Elephas maximus indicus: one gene and its partner. The protein of the gene in region 1 purifies or fractionates together with the protein of each later gene. This does not show direct contact. Links are inferred from orthologs where the notes say so. Each region holds a gene or a part of one and is shown on either strand. Other genes may lie near its edges.

Region 1 (7,626 bases):
CTACTGGCTTAACCATTCTCCTCAAGCAGAAGTTACATTGGTTGCCAATCCACTAGTTACCCACACATTTCCAACTTCAAGGCTCGCTACACTCTTTCATCATCTTCCATCTCTATCCTACTAGCCTGTTCTCTCCCTTATGTTATTCTTCCCACTGAGGCCATTATGGCTGTTATTCCCTTCTCCCTACCGGTTTTATCAAAGTCTGAAGAGGTGGTAAGCTGAGTGGCAGACATGGCAGACATCTCCCCACTGCTAAGATTCGAAAGATCAAGGCAACGTTTTGGGGTTCCTCTGTCGAGACATAATAGAACATCAAAATTCCCATTAGGTTATAACATCCTTAAATGAAAAAAGCATAACATCCTCATTTGCAACACTCCTCAATAACTGTTACAAAAATCTGAACAGTGTCCAAATAAATCTAGTAACTTTTTGGGAAACATTTCAGATTAATAATGAAACAAGAAGCCCTGGTGGCACAGTGGTTAATCTAACTGTGCCAAATGAAAGGTCAGAGGTTCAAACCCACCAGCCAATCGGTGGGAGACAGTCTACTTCCATGAAGATTACAGTCTTGGAAATCGTATGGGGGATTTCTAATCTACTCCATTTTAGAGGGTCAGTTTGAGTCAGAATTGACTTGATGGCAATTTTTTTTTTTAATTGTGCTTTAGGCGAAAGTTTACAGAGGAAATTAGTTTCTCATTAAATAATATATACATTGTTTTGTAACATTGGTTGCCAAACCCAGGATGTGTCAACCCTCTCCCCTTCTATACCCCAGGTTCCCTATTTCCATTCATCAGTTTTCCTGTCCCTTCCTGCCTCCTTGTCTTTGCTTTTGGGCTGGTAAGCCCATTTAGTCTCACGTACATGGTTGAACTATGAAACATGTTCCTCATATGTGTTATTGTTTATTTTACAGGCCTATCTATTCATTTTCCTCAAAAATCCTGTGGTTGAAGGAGCAGAGCGTGTCCTTTGGACCAGGGATCCCTGTGCCTGAGAAGCTCCTTGACCAGGGGAAGAGTGAAGACAAGGACCTTCCTCCAGAGCCAACAGAGAGAGAGAACCTTCCCCTGGAGCTGACGCCCTGAATTTGGACTTTTAGCCTACTTTACTGTGAGGAAATAAATTTCTCTTTGTTAAAGTAAGAAAAAAAAAAAAGTCTTCTGGTTGAAAGGTGAACTTCAGGACTGAGTTAAAATAGTGTCCAGGGGCCATATTCTCTGGGTTTCTTCAGTCTGTCAGACCAGTTAGTTTGGTCTTTTTTTGTGAGTTTGAATTTTGTTCTACATTTTTCTCCCGATCTATTCAGGACTGTGTATTGTGATCCCTGTCTGAGTGGTCAGTGGTGGTAGCCAGGCACCACGTAGTTGTGTTGGACTCAGTCTGGTGGAGGCCTGTGGTAGTTGTGATCCATTAGTACAGCAATGGGTTTTTTGGTCTGGTAATAATGGGAACTAGGCTGAGAAAAATGTTTCACCTTTTCTTTACTCCAATAACCTGTATCTCAATTTCCCCTCACCAACATATTGAGACAGGATAATTTTTTTTTTTAATTGAGGCCCAAAGTTTATTGATCTACAGGTCTTGATCTTATGTCCTCTCCCCTGTGCACCATGAGGACACAGACTTGATTCCTCCCTGGGTTCTGTAGTACTTTTCAGCTCTATAAATCTTCAACTTCATTTGGTAGCTGAGGCATCTGGACACGAACATCGCCAGAATTTAAAGTGCAAGAACACACACACATATTGATTCCGACTCATAGCGACTCTATAGGCCAGAGGAGAACTGCCCCATAGCGTTACCAAGGAGCGGTAGATGGATGTGAATTGCTGACCTTTTGGTTAGTGGCCGAACCACTGTGCCACCAGGGCTCCAAGTACAAGTACGATAACACTAATAATAAAGTGTGCAAAGACTTCCCCAGACATCACGTCATTAGATTCTCACCCAATCCTGGTAAAATAGGAAGAAACTGTTATTCCCAGATCACTGAAAAGAAGCCTGAGATTCAAAAGGGTCACAGTTAGTCAAGTGGCAGAGGTGAGACTTAGACCCTTTTCCTAGGGCCAGGATAATTTATAAACAAACTAGAAAAGCAAGAGAAATAAAGTGTGACTATAAAAGTGAACTTACCCAGACAAAATGCTTAGGTTTCCAGAATCAACCAGGAGTTTGTCCACCGGAGTTCTAGGGAGACCTGGACACTTGGTAAAGGAAGTCTCTCTCTCCAGCAGCAGGTTTAACCTCTTCCTTTGATTGGATCTAAAACTGGGTCCTGAACCAGCGCCTTCCTCCTCTCTTGTGGATGAGAAGGGATTTGCAGACATGGGCTCTAAGTTCTCACCAAGAAAAAATTAAACCAATATAAGAGGACAAGGTCATCTATGTAGGTGCATCACTGATACATCACAGCTTTCACAACAACCTCCCTAACCCTTTCCAGCAGCGGTCAAGCAAATCAGTATTGGAGTACGGGCATACCCAAACGGTGATCTTTTTGGTGGATCCTAACTTACCGAGAGGCAACTCAGGGCTTTAAAGATGGGATGAAGAAAGGCCTTTGATTTGTTCCCGGCCACACAGCTAAGCGAGTCCTAACCGGAACTCAGGTCTCCTAATTCGCGATAATGCCTATCAGGTCCTCCCGCCTTAGGTTTGCGGGGTCCCGGCTGGACCCGGAGGAGACAATGGGGTCTCCGTGACTCCGTGGCGTAGATGGCTCCGGGCCTAGGTCTTTTGGGTCCTGAGCCTTGTCTTCGCGAGGAAAGGATCGGCCACAAGCGAAGCCTCGAGCAGAATTAAAGAAAAGAACAAACTGGGGAAAAGAGGCGACTAGCCAGACTATTTTGCTCTTCAGCTGGGTAGGCGGGGGCCAGGCTTTGCAAGTTCTCTCGGCAGAATGGAAGTTACAGTCTCAGTGCAAGAACACCAACAGCCGTAGACCTTGACCATTCAAACCTTCCGCCCTCCCCAATAACCTATCCACGCTTGCCTCTAAACTGCGTCAGCCGATCTCGGCGTGCCCGCCTAGACGTCCTCAGCCAATCGTACATCACCTCTGGGCGTGCGCTTGCTCTGGAAGAGCAATATTTGCCCCGCCCCTGGATCAGAGCAGCCCGGCGATTGGCCCACCAGCTTTAGACAGGAAAAAAAAAAAAAAAAAGCTGGATAAGCCCCGCCCCACAGGGAACCTGGAGCATTATTGGCCCTCCCTTTGACCAATCGCCACATCCTTCCTTCAGTCTGCCCGCAGCCTCACCAACCCCGGGAGATTTAAATTGCGACCACTCGCTGGCCTAATAACACGAGCGTTTTTTTTTTTAGTTTAGATGGGAGAGTTTGGAGAGCGTCTCTTTTTTCTTGCTTTTTTTCTCGTGCTGTTACGCGGACCTTTCCCTTCTAGCTTTTCTAGCTTTCCGCTGGCGATGGAGCATTTGCCGCCGGCGTGGCAGGTGTTGGGAAGAGACAGGTGTGTGTGTTTATGCAGAGCGGCGTCAGCCCCTCCCAAGAGTTTCGGTGACCCTTTTTAGGGGTAGCATCTGAGACTCTATGTAGGGTAAACAGGAATTCCTTTGCTGGGAGAATAGGAAAGTTGAATAATTTCTTGGCATAATCCTTATCACAGTTCAAAGAATTCAGTCTTTGTTATGGAAATTTGTCTTGACTAAGTGGTATTAAAGGAGCTTTGGTGGCATAATACGGAGAGCCTTGGTGACGCAGTGGTTAAAAGCTTGGCTGCTAACCAAAAGGTCGGCAGTTCGAATCCACCAGCCGCTCCCTTGGGAACCCTATGGGGCAGTTCTACTCTGTTCTACGGCGTCGCATGAGTCGGAATCACTCCACGGCAACGGGTTTCCTTCTTTTTGGTTGGTGGCGCAATGGTTAAGCGCCTGGCTGCTAATGAGAAGGTCGGGGGTTTGAACCTAAATCTTTAGGCAGTCTGCTCCCTGAAGATTTCAGCCTAAGAAACCCTGTGAGGCAGTTCTGTTCTGTCATATAGGGTCGCTATGAGTTGGAATCCAGTCGACAGTACACAACAGCTGATACTAAGTTATTCATAATTTGGGGGATTTGCTTTTAAATAATGGGGTAGGGAAAACCGGTGTGTATACATGAAACAAATTGGCCATGAGTGATGGGTGATTGGTACACGACGCCCACTAGTACTTGTCAAAGTTTAATGTGCATTCTAACCACCTGGGATCTTGTTAAAATGCAGATTCTGACTCCCTAAGTCTGGGTTGGGGTCCAAGATTCTGCACTGCTAACAAGGTCTTAGGTAATGCTGATGCAGCTAATCCTAGGACTATACTTTGAGTAGCATTTAAAAAAGAAAAAACATTGCTGTTGAGTGGATTCCGACGCGTAGACCCTACAGGGCAAAGTAAAACTGCCCCATAGGGTTTCCAAGAAGTGGCTGGTGGATTCAAACTGCCCCAAGGCATTATGCTATTCTCTTCACTGCTGTGTATTATTTGAAATTTCCCATAAAAGTTTAAAATAAACTTGTAAGCTCTTGAAAATGCAAGAGCCCCAAATACTGATTCAATAGGTCTGAAATGGGGCCCAGGAATGATCAAGGCCCCCAGGTGCTACCAAAGCAGATGGTTCGCAGACCACACTTTGAGAAACATTAAGTCAGAAATGCAACTTTATCTTTGAGAAAACAATAAGTCAGAAATACCACATTTATCTGGTGTCAGAATCTTGGTGGTGGTGGTGGCTGAGAAGCATTGTAGTCAGCTGGTTACTCCCTGATACTCCCTTCATCTGTAGAATCTGCTTCTCTAGAAAGGAGATGTGTGAGGAGTCTTTGTCTTCTGGGATACAGATGGTGAATGCAGGAGTCAGCACAGAGTCACGCCATGCCAGGTGAGTTTGCAAATCAGGCTGGGAATTAAGAGAGTATGGGATGAGTTGGTTCTGCTTTGGTGACTATAAATCACACTTTGTGGGGCACTGTGTACTTCCCCACAGTAGAGACATATGACATTGTCCTGCAGCGACGGCAAAAGCAGATAGATTATGGCAAAAGCACACCTGGCTACCAGGGCTTTCTGCAGCAGGTCTCCACATGAGTCTCATTGTGGGGTGGTCACAACAAGGGTGCCCACCAAGTTGCTTTGGTTCAGAGGATGGAAAGATACTAGGATCTGAGTGTTTTGAATGTGCTCACAAAGTTGCAGAACTACTAAATTTCTTGTAATCTAGCCCTAATATTTCCAAGGTTTTTTTTTTTTTCAAGTGGAACATACTTGGTCCATTGGCTTTTTTAAAAAATTGATTGTGGTGAGATATATATTTCAACAATTTTCTGTCTACAATTCACTGACATTAATTACATTCACCATGTTGTGCAACAATCATCATGTTTCCAATTTTTTTCACAGTCTTTAACAAAAATTCTGTATCTCTTAATATCCCCGATTTTCCTCTCCCACCCGCCCCTCCATGTGACTTTTTAAAGCTCTATCTGTGTTTCCTAATGAGGTGGTTTTCCTTCCAACCATTTTTACCATCGTCTTCTTATGCCTCCTCTTGACTTGGTAATTGCAACATACTTGCCTAAGTACATGTAAATTTACACACACTCATAGAAATTAAATGCATGAAAATGAACATTTGTTTTAAAGGGAAGTCAAATATTTTATGTCTACCTTGATTTCCAAGAATATATCTAATTTACCCTTTCCAGAAGAAAGGCTATTAGTGAGGCTGAAAGTTTGGTGTATAATCTGAAGATCTACTTTTTCTATTTGATTGAGGACACTGGTCTTACTCATTCTCAGGGAATTTCTAACTAGGCTCCTGATTCATTGTGATAAGTAGTGAGCTGTGCCCCCTGCTATACAGGGCCCCCTTTCATATTGACCTCAGCCTGACCCACATTTGTTGTTGCCAGGGCACAGCGACAGCCAGGGCTTCAACCTCAGACGCCAAACAAGAACAGACAGTACAGCCATCGCTCCTGGGATGCCCAGAACAGGCACTGGAGAAGAGCCTTGCATTCCTGGGATCCGCCCAGTCAGCCCCTTCAGGGCAGGGCTGCTCTGGGGTGTGCTGACTATTTCTGGTTCCTTCAGTGAGTGGTGGGCTGAGCCCCACATCTCCCCACTTTGCAGAGGTTTATCTTTCACTGCGTGAAAAGGGAGGGTCTGAATAAAAGGCATGTTCCTCTGACTCTGCTGCCTTCCTAGACAGGGAATGGAGAGTCTCTTAGAGCCAATGGACTCCACCCCTTTGGACAATCTACTGGATGACTGGCTCCAGGCCCTGAAACTCTTCGAGAATCTGGATGGAGACCAGGTAGTATACTCTGCTGAAACTCCCTGGAGCAGGGTCAGAGATGAGGTCTAGCCCAAGGGCACAATTAAGACGAAGTTCAAGGTAGCATCCCAAGAACAAAAGGAAGCAGCTGGAAAAAAAAATAACAGGTCATGACTTAAAAACTTGAGAACTAAGAGAAGGGTATAAGGAGATTTAAAAGGAGCCCTGGTGGGACAATGGTTAAGTGCTTGGCTGCTAACCTAAAGGTTGGTTATTCAAACCCACCCAGTGGCTCCATGGGAGACAGTCTGCTTCCATAAAGATTACAGCCTTGGAAACCCTATAGAGCAATTCCATTCTGTCACATGTGGTCACTATGAGTCGAAATCGACTCGATGGCACCTAACAAGAAGGAGATTTAACTATAGTTAGTAATGGAGGTGGAGCTTTGGGCTATACTGAGTGCTATTTTACCCTTGATGAAAGAGGGGGTATAGCCTTCCTTTGAGGCCTGAAATCTGCTCAGTTTTTGTTTGATTTTGTTTTTTAACGTCTCAAATTCTTTCAATGTTTTACAAGTTAGCCAATGCTAACTTAACTTCTTTTACTCAGTCATTTAACTTTTGTAAGCACGGATAATTTAAAAAAAAAAGTGGGGGGTATATAGCCTAGTGCTTTACATAACCAGGGCTTTAGAGGCTCATAATTGGTTCTTTGCCCACCACTTGGGCACTCAACCTCTTGGGCTGTTTATTGTCTCATTTGGTGATTGTAAGCAAAAATGAGAATACATTATTTAAATTATATAGCACCGTGCCTGGCACATATAAGTGCTTCACAGCTATTACTGAAAACAGTGTCTCCTATGCTTCATGGTCCCTGCCTCTGCTTCTTTTTCACCAAGGGGAAATGTGCATGGCAAGGTATATCCCCCTCCCACTTTCTTATAAATACCTCACTTTTCCTTTATTCTTTTTCAGTTAGCTGACTTTGTGGCTCCTGCCTCCTCCCTTCCATGGCTCAATGAGGAAGATCCCTACAATGACTACTTTCTAGCTGAACACAGCTAATTTACCTGTACCACTCCTGAGTGGGGCACAAAATATTTACAGAAAACAGATGTCTTTCAGGGGACTTACTTGCATTACTACCACTTTCCAATCAATTAGAAATCTAAAACTCTACCCTACAAAGGGATCACAACCCAAAGGCATTGTTTAAAACCTCTTCTTTTTCCATCTGTTTGCCTGTCTCTCTGAACCATCTTTGATGCTAGCTGAGACTCAAATTTACATAAGAGCCAGAAACCATCTAACTGTTCCCCAACCTCTTCACCTTCTACTA
Region 2 (7,664 bases), on another chromosome or scaffold:
CGGATGAGAATGACAACAGGCCCTATATCTGCTCCAGTTTTCTGCTACAAACTCCCAATCCTGCCTCTCCTTCAGCCAAAATCCATACACCAACAAGTGGTAAACCTGCTTTCAGTATTCAGTGCTCCATGTGTCATACCACTGCAGCCCTTTTCTATCTCCACATGTCCAAGGAGGTGTCCCATCAAGGGGAGAGGCTTGTCCTTAAAACTACAAGGGCAGGGAATAGCCAAGACTTAGACAAATTTAACCTTGGCCCCAAGCACAAAGTGTTCTGTTCTACTACTCCCAGACCTGACTGGAATCAGATGCCTATGTAGAAAATAATCTTATTTTGTACTTAGAAAAAGACGTTAGCCAACGAACCAGAGCATCCTTCAACTTAATTCCAGAGGAGAGGAGCCTCGAACACCGGACTTCACTCCACAGGCCACCTACAGGACTAGAATGGACCCAGGGCATAGGCTCTGCCTCTATGCTTCTGCTCCCTACTCACAAAGTCTCAGCCTTCAGCAGGTCATCCCTGGCCAGCACCATTAGCGAAAGAGCCATCCTTCCACTGCAGGAGAGGAATCCCAAAGTACCCTGGGCCACAGCCAGAGCAGGCAGCCTCTCAATCATTCTGCTAGAGAACTGAAGAGGCTTCATGGAGCCATGCAACACATGGGATCCCAAATGTGAGGGGTATGAATGAATTTCAGGATCTTAATTATGCAAACCTGTTCGAATCTTGGAAAGATCCTGTCTCTGAGCTACTCCCTCTTATTTTTTTTGCATCTAGGCAGCATTTCTAATCTCACCAAGTGCTGTGCAATCATCTTTATTCATCATTACATGCTGGCCAGTCTCTGAAGCTAAGTACTGGCCTGGTTAACAAGCTTGCAGCAGGAAGAAAAAAAAAAAAAAGTTGCCCAAACTAGTCTTAGTCATTTGCACACGCTTCAATACCTTTCACATTCAGCACCATCCTTTATCGCCACTTGGGTAACAGACAAAAACAGTTGCCTGAGTCTGTGGAGGGATTTCTCCTCACACTCAAAGGAGACCTGAACAAACAGCATGACAGAGCCAGACCCAGTTTTCTCAAGATACACTTCAACAGAGTTCCTCCCAACACATATTTAAACATAGAGGCACAATCAGAATGGCTGGTTAAGTTAGCAAGAGCTGCTTTCCAGTCAGAGGCTCTCCAAAAACTCCTCTCAACCAAAGAACAGTTTTCCTGCCAGACAGAAGCGCACCGCCAGCCACACCTCCTCCTGGCTGCCCAGACAGAGGCAGGCTGCTCCCCATGGCCCTCCCTGAGGAGCAGGTGGCTGGTCCCAAGGCCCCGATGGCATTCTCCCACCAGCACAGGGGGCAAGCCTCAGCTCTGCACAGCCTAGCGACTGCCATCTCCAGAGGAAGTAAGCCATACTCGTGGAGGAGAAAGATTCAGTCCCAATGGGAATGGTAACCAGCCAAGACATCCACTCTCTTCCACCTTGGAGTCTACCTGCCCCTTTGGCCACACCCCAAGCAACTAGCTGTCTGAACTGTCTTTCAGGACCCACTGAAAGGGAGCATCTAATACAGTCCCTGTATGAGTGTGGTGCTGGACTCAACCAATTCCTCAGTCAACATTTGGCCCAGAAAGACCAAGAGGATGGGCTCTTTTCCAGAGTCCCAGTAACACCTGTTTTGCCCAGAGGCTGTAGGAAGAGACAGGTTGCAAACAGGGATGGGAAACTAGAAAAGATCCATTCCTACACCAAGCGTAACCCATCTGTAACCCAGCCTGATCCTCAGCAGAACTACTTGAGGAATATCAGCTGCCCTGAGAAACTAATGCCTGAGTCCTGAAATGGGTGGCCAGAAAGCACTGCTTCCCTCCCTGCCCAGCCCCAGGTCTCCGTCATTTACTTCCTACTGGAAGTGGAAAGCTGTGGCCCTTTCAATCCTGAGCCAAACCATGGATCTCCTTAGCTTGCTCCTGTTCTAGCCAATGTCCCAGAGCAAAGGAGCTGCAGAGCCAGAGGGAGCTCTGCACAGAGGAGGAACACTGTGCAGAGCAAGCAAAAAGTTTATCAGGAAGAGTGCTGGTCAAACTTCAAAAGCAAAAGTTTTACTCGGGTATTACGTAGGAGCTCAACGAGAAGGTATGAAAAGGAGACCTCATCTCTTCACAAACACTACTCTTTCAATGGGCTGCCCTCCTAACTCTCAAGAAGGCCCCCAGACCCGCCCCTATCCTATGCAGTCGCCCCTATACTAGGCAGTCTCACGCCCTCTAATCTCCTCCAGCCGAGCTCCTCCAAAGCCCTCTCCTATGCTCCCCAGGCCCCGCCTAGCCTTCCCCATCCCACTTCAGCCGACCCCCATCCTTAGCTTCCCCTATTCCACTAATGACCCCCTACTGGCGCGCTCTCCTTTCACCACGTTTACAGTTCCCTCTCTCATAACGCACCCCTCTCTGCTCCTTCACACACCCCAGTTCTTACTCCATTTTAATCTGTTAACCTTTCATCCTCCCCTCCTCCGTTAACCCTTCACTGCCCACAGGCTCCGTTAACCCCTTTGTCCCCATTCCCAACTTGTGCCTTAATTCTCCCCTCGCAGCAGGAAGTCCTCCTTGCAAGTGCTTTAACCCTTCTACTCCTCCTCCTCTCTTCCCCTGCAAATTTCTTCGTTCCGGCGCTTTAACCCTTCCCAGCCCCCTTGTCCGTCTCCCCGCGGCCCAGGGCATACCAGTATTTGACGATAGCAGTAACCTGGAGCGGATTCGGCTGGTCGGGGTAAAGGCGGCGGCACTCTCCGTAGATGGCATGCAGTCCCGGGGGGAAGAGCGAGGCGAACGCCGGGGGGGCAGAAGGGCCAGGGGCTGGGGGCGCGGTGGGGCCGGGGGCGCCGCTAGGCCGCAGCTCCGCCATTGGGGCACGTAGGGTGCTGGGGGAGCCGGGTAGGGAGGGTGAGGGGGAGAGCACTGACTGGCCAGCGGGCGGACTTCTTGGGTGCGACTCCCCGAGGCAAAGGGGGCTGCAGCGAGGTCTAGTGTCTGCGCCTGCGCACTACACACTGTCCGCCCAGGCCGCCGCCGCCGCAGCCTCGGAGTCGGCCAGAGGGTGCCTGGGGGCTGCGGAGCTCTCAAATGGGCGGGCCGCAAACGCGTCCTATGCTGACATCTATTGGCTAGCGTCTGTGCCAGTCACAGGTGAGAAAGGCGTGATCTGACAATAGGCCCCGCCTTCTCATCGCTGAGTTGGGGGTGTCCCAAGGCTCTTGGTCTCCCCCTAGTGTTGGGAGGAAGACATGTTTAAATAGAGACATTGAGGGAGGCAACCCTGTGAGGTGCTAGGGTCCCACGAAAGGCACTGTGACGTGATCTCACCTACGGTTAGGTTAGTAGCTTACACGCTACTAACCAAGATTTAAATAAATCTGACAGTATATTGGCTCACTCGTCCGTGTGGCATTAGTTTTAATAGATTAATTAATCCAATGTTTCCTACTATTTTTGAACGTCCGTGGACGTATTGACTGACACTGTTAAAACCCATTGCCGTCTAGTCGATCCTGATTCACAGGGATCCTATAGCGACCAAATTCAGGGAACTGAAGTTGAAATAAGTCCCCAAAACCCATACCGTCGTGTCGATTTCGATTCATAGCGACTCTGTAGGACAGAGTGGAACCGTCCCTTAGGGTTTCTAAGGCTGTAATCTTTACAGAAGCAGACATCTTTCTCCCAGCGAAGCCGCTGGGTGGATTGGAACCGTCGACCTTTAGGTTAGCAGACGAGCGCTTAACCCCTGGGCCACCAGGGCTCCTAAAATAAGTCAACAAGTAATAAATACTTTTTGGCATACTGTCAGAAAGTAAAGGTGCCCTGGTGGCCCAGGGGTTAAGCATTTGGCTGCTAACCAAAAGGTCTGGCGGTTCCAACCCACCCAGCGGCTCCGCTGGCAGATAGATGTGGCAATCGGCTTCCCTAAAGATTACAACCTTGGAAACTTTAAAGGTCAGTCGTACTCTGTCCTATAGGGTGTCTATGAAACGGAATCAACTCCAGGGCTACAGGTTTGTTCAGAAAATAACAAGAGTTGGTTAAACTAGTGTCAATTTATATGACTTAGTAATTCTTTAATAAATGTTTTTAATGATAATTTCGTTCTTTGTTCTGCTTTAAGGAGATGTATGCAGTTTGCTTTGAGGAATACCAATATTCATTATCCACTATGGGCCTGTCCTTTCCCATTATCTTTACTCTCTGTATCTGGGAGAATTTTCTTTAATTTCTTAGGCACGAGGTGGAAAATTATTTTCCTGTTTACAATAACTCTTCATTCAGTAACACTTTCATTCAATGATCTTGAAGGAGTGCCAAGATAAACGGATAGGAGGGAGTGGCTACCAGTGCTATTGACCAAAGGGTCTCTGCAACTTTAACAGAAGGATGCCCTAGAGAAAACAAGAGGAAAATGCAGTGTTTATTTAAGAGCAGTAACACATAACCTCTCTTCACCTCTGTTTCCTCACCTATCAAAATCTTGTCAATTCTAGCTCCTGTAATGATACTAGAGAAGCAGCTGAAATCCTTGGATGAACAATATTTTAATAACCAAAAGATCACCTTTACCAGTAGTTCCAAATGCCAGTCTTCAGACCAATGTCAATCTGTTACTAAATTTACGCCTATCCAGGAGAAAACGGGAATAGTAACCACAATGTACTGCTTTTCTCTTGTAGCAAATTTTTATGGAATTTAAATGATTTCCTTTGTTCTGAAAATTTGCAGTTTCTTGTGTGTGTATATGTGTATTAAAATGACCTTTCTGTTCAAGTTTGATGGTGGTAGATGTTTGTTTTTTAAAGTCTTAAAGACCCAAATAAAAACATGGCAGCCTTATTTTGTCCAGGTGAGGTGGGGGTGGAGTGGGCAGTACTGATCTGTAAAAACCACATTCACGAATTACTGACCAATGCTAAACGAAATACAGACAAGTACTCAAGAAGACTACACACTTCGGCATGCACTGCGAAACCTTTCAAAGGGACTACAAATCCAAGAATGCAACACAGGCATCAATCGGCGTCTCCATCTATTTTTTTAACGGAGACTACAAACCCCAGAGTATGTGCGACGGAAATGCGGACGCTCAATCCATGTTTAAGAGGCGGGTCTCCAAAACGGGCCTTTTAGCAAACCCCGGCGCAAAGCATGCTGGGGATTGTAGTTCTTTGGAGGCGAAATCGGACCCCTTCCCTGGCCGCCCTATACCGGCGGCTAGACTGCGCATGCGTGTCAGCGGCGTTAGCAGCGGACCGGGCTGGCAGTTCTTTCCTCGGAAGGAGAGATTCCTCTACGATGGAGTCCTACGATGTGATCGCCAACCAGCCTGTCGTGATCGACAACGTGAGTTGCATCTTTCCTATTTCTAAAGGGACTTCTGCTCTCTTCCCCGAAGGGATAGCTTCCCGGGTTTCTGCCCGGCTCTTTGTCACTGGCCCGGCCTGTCAGGCGGGTTCAGCCGCCGTCGCCAACGTCCTCCCCCACCCGTAGTTCGTAGGCAGGGCAGCCAGGCGGCAACCGTGGGATAGAGAACTCTGGAGTAGGCAAAGGAAAGAGCTGTAGTCCGAGCCGGGTCGGTGGGCCCTTGGCTCGAGGGGCCTTAACCGCTCTGTGAACACCGGCGCCTGCCCTGTCCCCAGTGCTTGTTAATTCTATTGGCTGCTCTTGCTGTCTATCTTGACTGGTGACCCCGCCTCTGGGCCTTGCCGGATGAGGACAGCCCTCTGCAGTGATTGGCTCACGCTCCTGCCGTTCTTCCGGGCCGCCTTAGTGTTTCCCTTCTCTAAGGGGCGGGGCGGTGTACCAGCGCTGTGGGGATTGGCTTCGGGAACTCAGTGGCACTAGAAGGGCGAAGGCCCGCCTGCGGGTGGAGGAGAGGGGCTGTTTCCTGCGGCCCCGAGCGGGCGGGGCAGCATGGTGGTGTATCTGGGTGGGGCCCGAAAATCTGATGCCAGAAATGGCCGTAGAATTTCAGTTATTTCTATAATTATAAAGTTAATAAAGGCCTAGAAGAAATGAGAATGACAAAGCAAGCTGGGAGATGCCTTTCTATTTGGAACGCCTAATTGTTGACGGAAAAAATTAGCTAAACATAATATTTGCAAGGCTCTCCAGCGCTTACAAGGCGCTTTCATATACATTCGAGTTGGATGCTCACAAAAACTAGGCGGATAGTTAAGGCAGGAAGTTTGATCCTCATTTAATAGTTGAGAAATCTGAAGCGTGAGCCCAAGGTCACACAGGGCTTGACCGGTTATTCCTTTTGCTGGCACCCACGCAAATGCATCAGTAGTGACAAATGGAAAGACTCTGAATACTACTTTTATGGGGAAGGAGGGGCAGTTGTAAAACAACGGCATCTCTGTCTTCAGCTCAAGGGTGATGGTCCCACTAAGATCAGTTGATACCTCTCTGTGCCTCTTCTTGTTGTTAGCTGTGGTGGAGTCTGTTCCGACTCATGACAACCCCAAGCGTGCATAGTAGAATTGCTCCATAGGGTTTTCAAGGCTGTGACCTTTTGGAAGCAGATTGCCAGGCCTTACTTTCCAGGTGCCTCTGGATGGGTTTGAAGTTATCAATCTCCTCAGTCCTAACTGATTCGCCCTGTTGAGCCAGCTCTTGGGTACAGCGTCGCCTTGTTTAAACTTCTCCCCTGCTAGGTAAGTAGGAATTATTTTTCTCAGTTTATGCAGAAAACTGAGGCTTGGAGAGGTTAAATAACATATTCAAACCACCTGGCCTGTGAATTAAGGCACCAAGACTCAGACTGAGATCTGGTTCCAAGTTCCTCACTCTTTCCAAGGAAAGGTTATTTTTGTTCGTTTTTCTTCTCTCGGATGGGTGTGGCTTCTGCTTTGTTTGAGCTCAATGAGGCACCCCTTCTGGGAGAGTTTTTTTTTTTTTTTTTTTGTCTCCACTAGACTTTGAAATCCTTGTGGAAAAAGAATGATACTCCTTTATTTTTTATTACTCTCCCGTTTCCATATACACAGTACCTAGGGCAGTGCCTGGCACACACTATGTGCCCAATAAATGTTTTTTCATTGGACTGATGGGCAGGTGGTTGAATGAATGAACATCTCTTATCACAGTAACAAAGATGTTCCTAAATAAAGGATGGCAGGGAGCCCCCATTATTTACTGAGAGGGTTGAGCAGGACTCCTTGTTCGTGATGCTGATTTCCAGAGAACACTGCTACTTCAGTCTTCAGCCAGTCTGTGTTTCATCTGCCTTTTGCTTAGTTAGAAAGAAATTAGCAATTGGCAACAATTTCCTGTTTTCATCAGCAGTACAGAGGAGCAGTCCAGCCATCCAACCCAGGGGATCCTTTGCTTCTTGAATGGCTGGGCAGGAGTTCTGTCTCCAGCCAGTCTCTTTAATGTTGTTTAAACTAATGCGTCTTAGTTTCTCCTTTGTCTTTCCTGGTAATGTATTTGAAATGCATCAAAGCAGTGGTGCATTTTCAGTTTTAATGTTTAAAGGATTGACTTTTCTCTGGGAAAACATTTCCTTCATTCTGCCAGTAATTCTGCCAAAAGGTGAAGTAGGAGCTTAAGTCATTTTCTCATTAGGACTTCCCAAATATCTGCCACATTTTTAGATTTGGAGCCTTGG

What was found.
Region 2: the proteins of CDC25C (region 1) and SUFU purify together in Homo sapiens (affinity purification with mass spectrometry; 4 studies listed by BioGRID and IntAct, counting the BioPlex papers as one, with this or other methods). This does not show direct contact. The link is inferred for Elephas maximus indicus from reciprocal best matches to the Homo sapiens genes CDC25C and SUFU.

What each region holds. Positions count from the first base shown.
Region 1 is NC_064820.1:151,423,309-151,430,934, forward strand, and holds the start of CDC25C (M-phase inducer phosphatase 3), read right to left. Parts: upstream 3,068-7,626; 5' UTR 2,532-3,067; intron 2,355-2,531; exon of another isoform or gene 2,348-2,354; 5' UTR 2,343-2,347; coding exon 2,149-2,342; intron 295-2,148; coding exon 191-294; intron 1-190. UniProt on the Homo sapiens protein: Functions as a dosage-dependent inducer in mitotic control. Tyrosine protein phosphatase required for progression of the cell cycle. When phosphorylated, highly effective in activating G2 cells into prophase.
Region 2 is NC_064834.1:54,066,456-54,074,119, reverse strand, and holds the start of SUFU (suppressor of fused homolog), read right to left. Parts: upstream 3,103-7,664; 5' UTR 2,910-3,102; coding exon 2,728-2,909; intron 1-2,727. Other genes in the region: ACTR1A (alpha-centractin), read left to right, coding at 5,345-5,392. UniProt on the Homo sapiens protein: Negative regulator in the hedgehog/smoothened signaling pathway. Down-regulates GLI1-mediated transactivation of target genes. Down-regulates GLI2-mediated transactivation of target genes. Part of a corepressor complex that acts on DNA-bound GLI1.